2 linked regions of the Ovis aries genome follow. The main gene of each other region encodes a partner of the protein of the gene in region 2 in a complex. Links are inferred from orthologs where the notes say so. Each region holds a gene or a part of one and is shown on either strand. Other genes may lie near its edges. The genes, in order: ESR2 and NCOA5.

Region 1 (3,813 bases), on a different chromosome or scaffold from region 2:
TACTGGAGAGACAAAAGGGGCTGAGATTCCTTCCTGAAGCAGCCACAGGAAGCCTGACATCTCCCCGACTCTCCCCCATGGAGCTGGTCCTCACCTTCACCCCAGGATGACCCCCAGCCCTCTGCTCTATGGTTCTTGCATCTGGCTCCTCCAATGATCTGCAGGTGAGGATGAAGCCAATGTCCTGTGGACGATGGTGTCCCACCACCCACCCCAACAACTTGACCCCTAGTGTGATGGGGTCTCTGAACACCACAGGTACATTTTCATGGTCTTTGAAAACACTGAACCGTTGCTATTGGGAGAAATAAGGGTTAGGTTCTGAGAGATTCTGGTCCCAACACTTTCATCAGCCCATTAATACATAATCTTGTTTCTTCTGAGTTATTGCTTAAAGGGCCTTATTTAACATGAATCATTGATTCATTAACATTTCATTCACAGCCTGTAGCACTAAAATTCATGCCTGAATGAAACTTATCTAACATGCATTTTCTCTGTAAGCACATCACAGGCTTCTTGCACTTAGGAACTAGACAGTACTTTAGCACTATTCTTGGGGATTCTCTTTAGACTATGAAATCTCCAACAAAGCACAAAATGCCGAAACAAGGTACTAAACAGACCATATAATACACCCTTGTTTACACTCTGAGAGCAGAAATGAGAAGGCAGAGCAGGCAGCACCTGGTACGACCTCCACTGGGAACATACGTGTGGGTAACTCAAACTTTCTGCCCGTCTGCACATGTCCTCGAATGACCTCAAAAGCACCCTGAGTATTGATTTGGGGGTTACAAATACAGTTTAGCAAGCAGGCAAATTCATAAGTAGAGAATCTGTGATTAATGAGGGTGGACTGTTTCTGCTCTGTAAATGGTCGTGTGCTGAGTAATCATTAAAGAGTAAACAGAGCAGAGCTCATTTCCACTTCGTCCCCCTTGTTGAAATCCGTCAGGTGTGTTGTCTTTTCTCACCGCCCCTAGACTTTCCTCCTCCTCAAGGGAGCATTTACCTTCCTTCCTCTTCCCCCCTCCTCCAGCCCCAGCACCCCACCCTCCTCCTAGGTGATGGCCAGCACTGAGCCTCATGGCACCGGCATGAAGCCACCATCAGACACCATCTCCGTCCTTGAGCACACACAATGTCCATTTCCTGGATACACTCTACCCATGCACTGCCTTCCCAAACCTACACGGCTCACTAGTTCTCTTAGTATCCTGATATATTGGAAGATGGATAAGGTAGACTTGCCACCTTGAAGGGAAAATGATCTCCTGAAAGGAAAGGCGGGCATCATCAGTACACACGCTGATGGCTCTTACAGAATGCAGTTGTCATAGCCGCTTTATGGTGTCTTGTTAACAGGCCTTAGCTCGCTCACCTTGCCGCAGGATAGACGGCAAGAGACAAGGTGTTGAGGCAGGGAATACAACTTTAGGCTGACCAAGAGGATGGCAGACTAATGTCTCGAAATAACCATCTTACAAGGGTCTGGATGCCAGGTTCTTTTATAGATCAAAGGTAGGGGGATATTGGGAAACAAAAATAAAAAGGCCACTAATCTGGCAAATATCTCCTAGAATGGCAAACCTTGGGCAGGGGATGTGTTGCAAGGATATATAATATCCTTTTCTATAGCAAGAAAAGGACAACTCTTAGGGAAGCCTTTGTGATCACCCCAGATCACCAGCCCCAGAGCTGATCTAGAGAAGCTGGGTTTAACCTCTTTAAGAAAACACCTCAGGACCCCAGCCCTGTGTAGTTCAGGAAGATGGGGCAGCTCACTTTAGGGGAGGAACTAACTGCCCCTTTCAGAATCCATAAACAAGCTAAAATCCCCAGCAACTAAAAACCAGATAAGCCAGCACAATGTTGCAGGGAAAAGCCAATTCTGGCTCCATGTTGGAACTGTTCCTTTGACTTGCTTTCTGTTGCTTTTGTTATTATAATCACACATGATGACCTGTCTCGGAGAATCCTGCCCCTTTGCCTGACTTACTAAAGTGTCTTTTTTCAGGACCCTGTCCACCTGTAGGCGGCAGGAAGGAAGACACTAACACATGCCCTGCCTGAGGTTTGCATTCTAGGAGATGTTTGCAAGATTAATGGTCTTTTTACTTTGTTTCCTTGTCTCCCACCACCTCTGATCTCTAGAAGAACCTGGCATCCAGACCCTCAAAAGATGGTTATTTTGAGACATTAGACTGCATGTTCTTGGTCAGCCTAAAGTTGTATTCCCTACCTCAACACCTCATCTCTTGCCGTCTATTTTGCGGCAAGTAGAGTGAGCTTGGGCAGGGTAACAAGACACTATAAAGCTGCTATAATGACCACATCCTATACGGGCCATCAGCGTGTATAGAGATGATGCCTGCCTTTCCTCTCAGGAATTCATTTTCCCTTAAAGGTGGCAATTCCACCTTATCCATCTTGAACTTGCAAAACCCTTTTTCCAAAACTCTTTATCCTTCTGTGAGCATCTGCACCCTCCCTCCCACCACACACCCAGTGGAGCAGACCCCACAGGGATGGTACCTGGCATGCCTGACATGAGACAGGAGCATCAGCAGGTTAGCCAGGCGCATGGACTGTTGCTGGGAGGACATGCCGCTCTTGGCAATCACCCAGACCAGAGCGTCCGTCACGGCATTCAGCAGGTGAGTCAGCTTCCGGCCACTGTCAGCCTCCTGGGATGCTGTAGCTGAAGGGTACATACCTGGACAAAGAATTAAAAAGCCAAGGGTCATTGCCATGAGAAAACAGAAGTCATGTGCTCAGCCATTAGGCATGTGTGTGCTAAGCTGCTTCAGTCACGTCTGACTCTGTGTGATCCTATGGACTATAGCCTGCCAGGCCTCTCTGCCCATGAGATTCTCCAGGCAAGAATACTGGAGTGGGTTGTCATGCCTTCCTCCAGGAGATCTTCCCTCTATGTTCTCCAGGAAGGAGGCCAAAGTGGTCTCGGCTGTTCTGACATCTGCGTGTCTGGTGAAGCCTTAAAAGCATGGCTTCACTTCTGTATGCTGTCTATTCCACCAAGAGCCAGCCCATCACTGAGTTGGAAGGGAAAGATGGCTGAATGCAGGCAGACTCAGCAGCCTCTCAGAGGGCTGCCAGGCCCATAAGTGTGGCCATGCCACAGTAGGAAATGTATCCAGCTGCCTCACACCACGGCATGGTACCTCTCAGCTGCAGCAACAATACCCATATGGAGATGGCCAGGAAAGTGAGGTTAATCCAACTCTTAGTCCCTAGGAGGGCCACTGATCTAAGGGGAGTTTACAAACTAATCACCACTGCTAGGCAGCTGCCCACCCCTTACACGGCAGGGCCACTGCCACCTCACCTCTGTCCAGACTCTCAGCATTTCACTTCAGGTGACGCTTTGGTGGAGCAGGAAGACCACCGATTTGCAATAAGACAGACCTGCTTTATATTCACCATCTCTTGCTCTCTGGCCCCTGACCAGTCACTTGGTTCTTCCAGCCTCAGCTCCTCACTGAGCAAAGCTTACAAGCACATGAGTCCTGAGGTCCCCACAACTACCTTAGGAGGTAGGTCACCTCCCCGTTCCTGCCTGGCCATGTGTTTAATTCCCCTCTGACTCTAGGAACTGAAATACCTGGCCTCCTGAAAGTTACAAAACAACTGCTCAGTTGTGTATCCTTGCCCCTACCATCCCCCTCTCCTACCAACCCTGACTTTTTTATTCTGGGCAACAGGGAAGTAATTAGCTTCTCTTCCAGGCTTTGGATTTCAAAGAATAAATAGCAAATAACATGAAATCAACAGGGGAGCTGCTGACTTTTG
Region 2 (3,813 bases):
CAGACACCCTTGTAGAAAGCTAGTTCTAAGGGGACTTCTTAGATCACAGACGTATAGTGAAAGCCAGAGAAACATGACATCTCACAGATTCAAAAAGACCACGTGGAGAATGACCACAGGAGGCAGGCCATGGGGGTCCACACAGCCCTTCTGGAAAGCCTGGCTTTCCACCACGCTCCTCAGGACAGAGCTGATTTTTTAATGTATCAAAAAGGTTCAAAGGTTATGGATTAAGATCAAATTATGACCCTCAATAACCTTCTCCCCTCAACCTTGGGCAACAAGATTTATAAGGTGATAAGAAGACTTCTTGGCACTTGATATAAATGTCTTCACACACCTTGAGGAGTGTTCCACAGAGAGGCGAATGGCCTGCTGGAGAGGCTTCTACACTCTATGCTTATGGGTAAAACTGGTCAGGCAGACAGAGGGCCCAGGGTGGTGGGAGAAGGGAAAAGTCTGTGCTGAGAGAGCAATCAGCAAGGAATCAGTTGACTGAGTCTCAACGATCTGGGAGCAAAGGACTAAAAGTTACTTCAGGCAAGGACTTCAGGGAACCGACCCTGGGCCTCCAGGAGGTCAAGGCCGCCTCCCTCTTCTCAAAGTCCCTCCACTGACTTCTCCAGCACACTAACAAAAAGTCTCCTAACTGCCTGCCACACGCTGTGCCCCTCGTTCCAAAGTCTGGTGAAGCAGGGGCTCCGCCACCCTCAGTGCAGTGTGTGCCAGGGCTGGGCTGGCTCTCACTGGTGCGAGCAGACTGTGCGCCTCTCTTCCCAACTTGCCCTAAAGTGACTTCATGTTGGTGGCTTGAAATAGAACACGGTGGGAGTATTTACACCATGGAAGTCAGGAAATTCTATAAACCACGCCATCCCCACCCCAGAACTGGCTGTTAAACATTTACTAACACATCACTGCACATACCTAAGGGCTGAATATAACGTCATACACAGCAGGCCCAGAACTGTATGCAATGAAAGAAGATCAAACAAATAAATGACTGTGCAAGCTTCTGTCACGCACTTATAAAAGGGCTCTACCACATCTGAGCTGAAATACCTTTACCTAAAGCCTGCTGCTTCTGAGTAAGCCATAAAAAAATTAATGGACTAGCATCTGGAAGTTTCTGGAACTGTGACCCACTGGGGCCTCCATACCTTGAGGGGTTCCGAACATGATGTTGACTGTGCAGGAGCGGTGAATCTGGTGTTGCTGGGTGATGACAATAGCGAAGGGAGAGCCTCCCCTGCTGACATCCTCCAAGGCTTGGGACAGTGAGACTTCCGTGTTGAGGAAGATTAGATCTACTACCATGCCTAGGTCTCGGACCTTCCGCCCCACAGATTCAGCATAATCTCTGTAGAAGCAAACAGGATCCAGTTGAGTACTCCCTGATCGACTCCCAATCTGTACAGTGGCACCTCAGCCAGAAGACTTCAAATCCTAGCTCTACCAGTGTCTCCCTAGCACCCTCTTCAGGCTCTAAAAATCTAAACCAATTCCTTCTCTTTATATTGGTGGAGAAGTTCCCAATGGAACAGGACTTAGTATCCCAGGCCCTTCTCTTGATTCTCTAGTCTGATGGTCATTCCTAAATACCATACTGTTGCCTAAGATTTGTAGCACATTTCTGTCTTGGCAGAGGCTGTACAACACAGTGAAAAAAGCATGGGTTTTAAATGCTAGAGATAGGTTTGGATCATAGCCCTAACATTTACTTGCAAAGTTGAAGCTTTAAGCAAATCCCTTTACCTCTTACAAACCTCAGTTTCTTTACCAATCAGACAGGAATAATACGGCTCAGCTCATATGTCATTTCCTTAACTTTCTCTCCAATCTAAATCAGATCCTTGATATATTTCTTCTCATAAGACTCATGACCAATACATTTATATTTGTCATCTGTCCAACTAGGGTATAAGCTCCACAAGAGGAAGGGACCATGTGTGTTTTGCTCATTAGCATTACAGCTTCAGGACCTAGCACCTGCCACACACAGAAAAAATTTCATGAATGAATACATGTGAAACATGATTACTATGAAGATCAGAAAAATAATTTAAAGCGCTTAACATGGAGTAGTACAGAGTAGGTGCTCAGAAAATGACAGCTATTATCATGCATTTAAAAATAAAAAGGCAAAAAAGTTATCTGCAAGTTAAAGCAGAATCTATTTCTAAACACTGCAGCCCAGAGCCTGTGAACTCTGCCTGCTGTTTGGTGTCTTAACACCTATTTCCCTAGCTTCTGCCTTGAAAATTAGCTCTTTAACCCCAAACTGCTAGAAAATACATGAAGTTCTTTACTAGCCACTTGGGGAAAGGGAATATAGCTGCTGCCAAACTTGCAAGCTGCTACACTCCCTTCTGCACCTCTGAGCTGCTTCTTCAAGGAAAGAATGTGAAACAGAGGTAGGAAGAACAGTGCCATGAGCTCTGCCTTGGCTGGCACGGCCACCTAACAGCTCTGCAAGGCCATGGCACTTCCCAAACAAAGCCAGTCTCTCGGCTGGCAAATGCAGACATGCCTGCCTTCCCACGTACGGGCTTGGGGTCGTCGCACAAAGGGGGCATCTACTGCTTCACCTGACCAACATCTACTCCCTCGGATTTTCCTTTGGGAAGGCACCCCTTTCCCACTCAGTCTGCCCCGGCTCCACAGGGTTAGTGCCACTTTCAGCACTATGCATGGGCACATGACCTAGCCCTGGCCAATCAGGGCATCCCAGCACTGCTGGCCAAAGGGACAGTCCAGGGATGGGAAACAATTCCAGGCCTTCAGGTGGAAGCAACAGGAAAAAGCAGCTCTTTCCACGGGTTTGCTAAGCTAAGGAGATACATGTCAAGAGCTAGCGCTGTTCTGTCTTTTCAAGTAGAAAGCTTGTCTGAGAGTGAAGACAACACAAAAGACCAAGTCTTTATGAGAGGCTAACCCTGAATGCAGCCATGCCTGAATGTCCCAGTCAAGCAAACTAAAAACTTCCCTTTGGGCCCAAGCCAGTTTGCGGTGGGTTTTCTGTCATCTACAACTGAAAGAACTCTGGTTAACACAGTACAGCAATGTCAACGTACAAAGCCTTGGCAGTGCGTACAGCTACCAAGAAGACTAAATTTCTAATTTCTCTTCTGCTTCTTCTCCTCACTCGGGAAAAATCCAAAGGGTTCTTACTTAGTCTGCTTGTTGACCACAATCACAGAACAATCAACAGGCCTCTCAGCATCAAAGCGTCTCTGGATTTCCTCAAAATACTGACGATAGAGCTCCTCTCTACGACGCTCCTCACGTTTCAGACGCTCTGCAGGATGACACAGGGAAAACTGAAACACGGACGGTGCCTTTCTATAAAAGTCAGTCACAGGCCTTATTTTCAATCTTGAACTACTTGTAGGCAAAGGTTGTAATCCTCTAGACTACTTCTGAAAAAAAATTATTTTTTTACTATTATAAATTCATTAAAATGGAATGAAGGGATTACAAGGCATGGTTGCTTTAATCTGATACATGCTACCAGAATGTCCTTTAGGAAAGGCTGTTACTAATTCATCCTTTCTTTGGGGTGGATCACCTAGTGCTATTTCTCCATATCTTAATCAACGCTGAGTTTTGTCATTAAAAAAAAAAAAAAACCTCCTGCCAATTGATAGGCAAAAGATAGTATATCATTATTATCCTAATTTTCATTTTTGGGACAACCATTTAAGACTCTTATTGACAGGTAATTGTAATTTGCTAAAAAAAAAAAAAAAAAAAAAATCAGGCAGTTAAAAAAAATCAACAAAAAAATCCTAAACAAAACCAGGCAGTAAAGTT

The links.
Region 1: the proteins of NCOA5 (region 2) and ESR2 are in contact, whole or in part, in a crystal structure (PDB 4ZI1), measured with the Homo sapiens proteins. The link is inferred for Ovis aries from reciprocal best matches to the Homo sapiens genes NCOA5 and ESR2. Residues at the interface, in NP_066018.1 of Homo sapiens: Ser344, Leu345, Ile346, Leu348, Leu349, Ala350, Asp351; in NP_001428.1 of Homo sapiens: Ile310, Lys314, Phe319, Leu324, Gln327, Val328, Leu331, Glu332, Leu490, Glu493, Met494.

The regions. Positions count from the first base shown.
Region 1 is NC_056060.1:74,487,376-74,491,188, forward strand, and holds part of ESR2 (estrogen receptor beta), read right to left. Parts: intron 2,720-3,813; coding exon 2,539-2,719; intron 3-2,538; coding exon 1-2.
Region 2 is NC_056066.1:74,778,924-74,782,736, forward strand, and holds part of NCOA5 (nuclear receptor coactivator 5), read right to left. Parts: intron 3,299-3,813; coding exon 3,172-3,298; intron 1,361-3,171; coding exon 1,161-1,360; intron 1-1,160. UniProt on the Homo sapiens protein: Nuclear receptor coregulator that can have both coactivator and corepressor functions.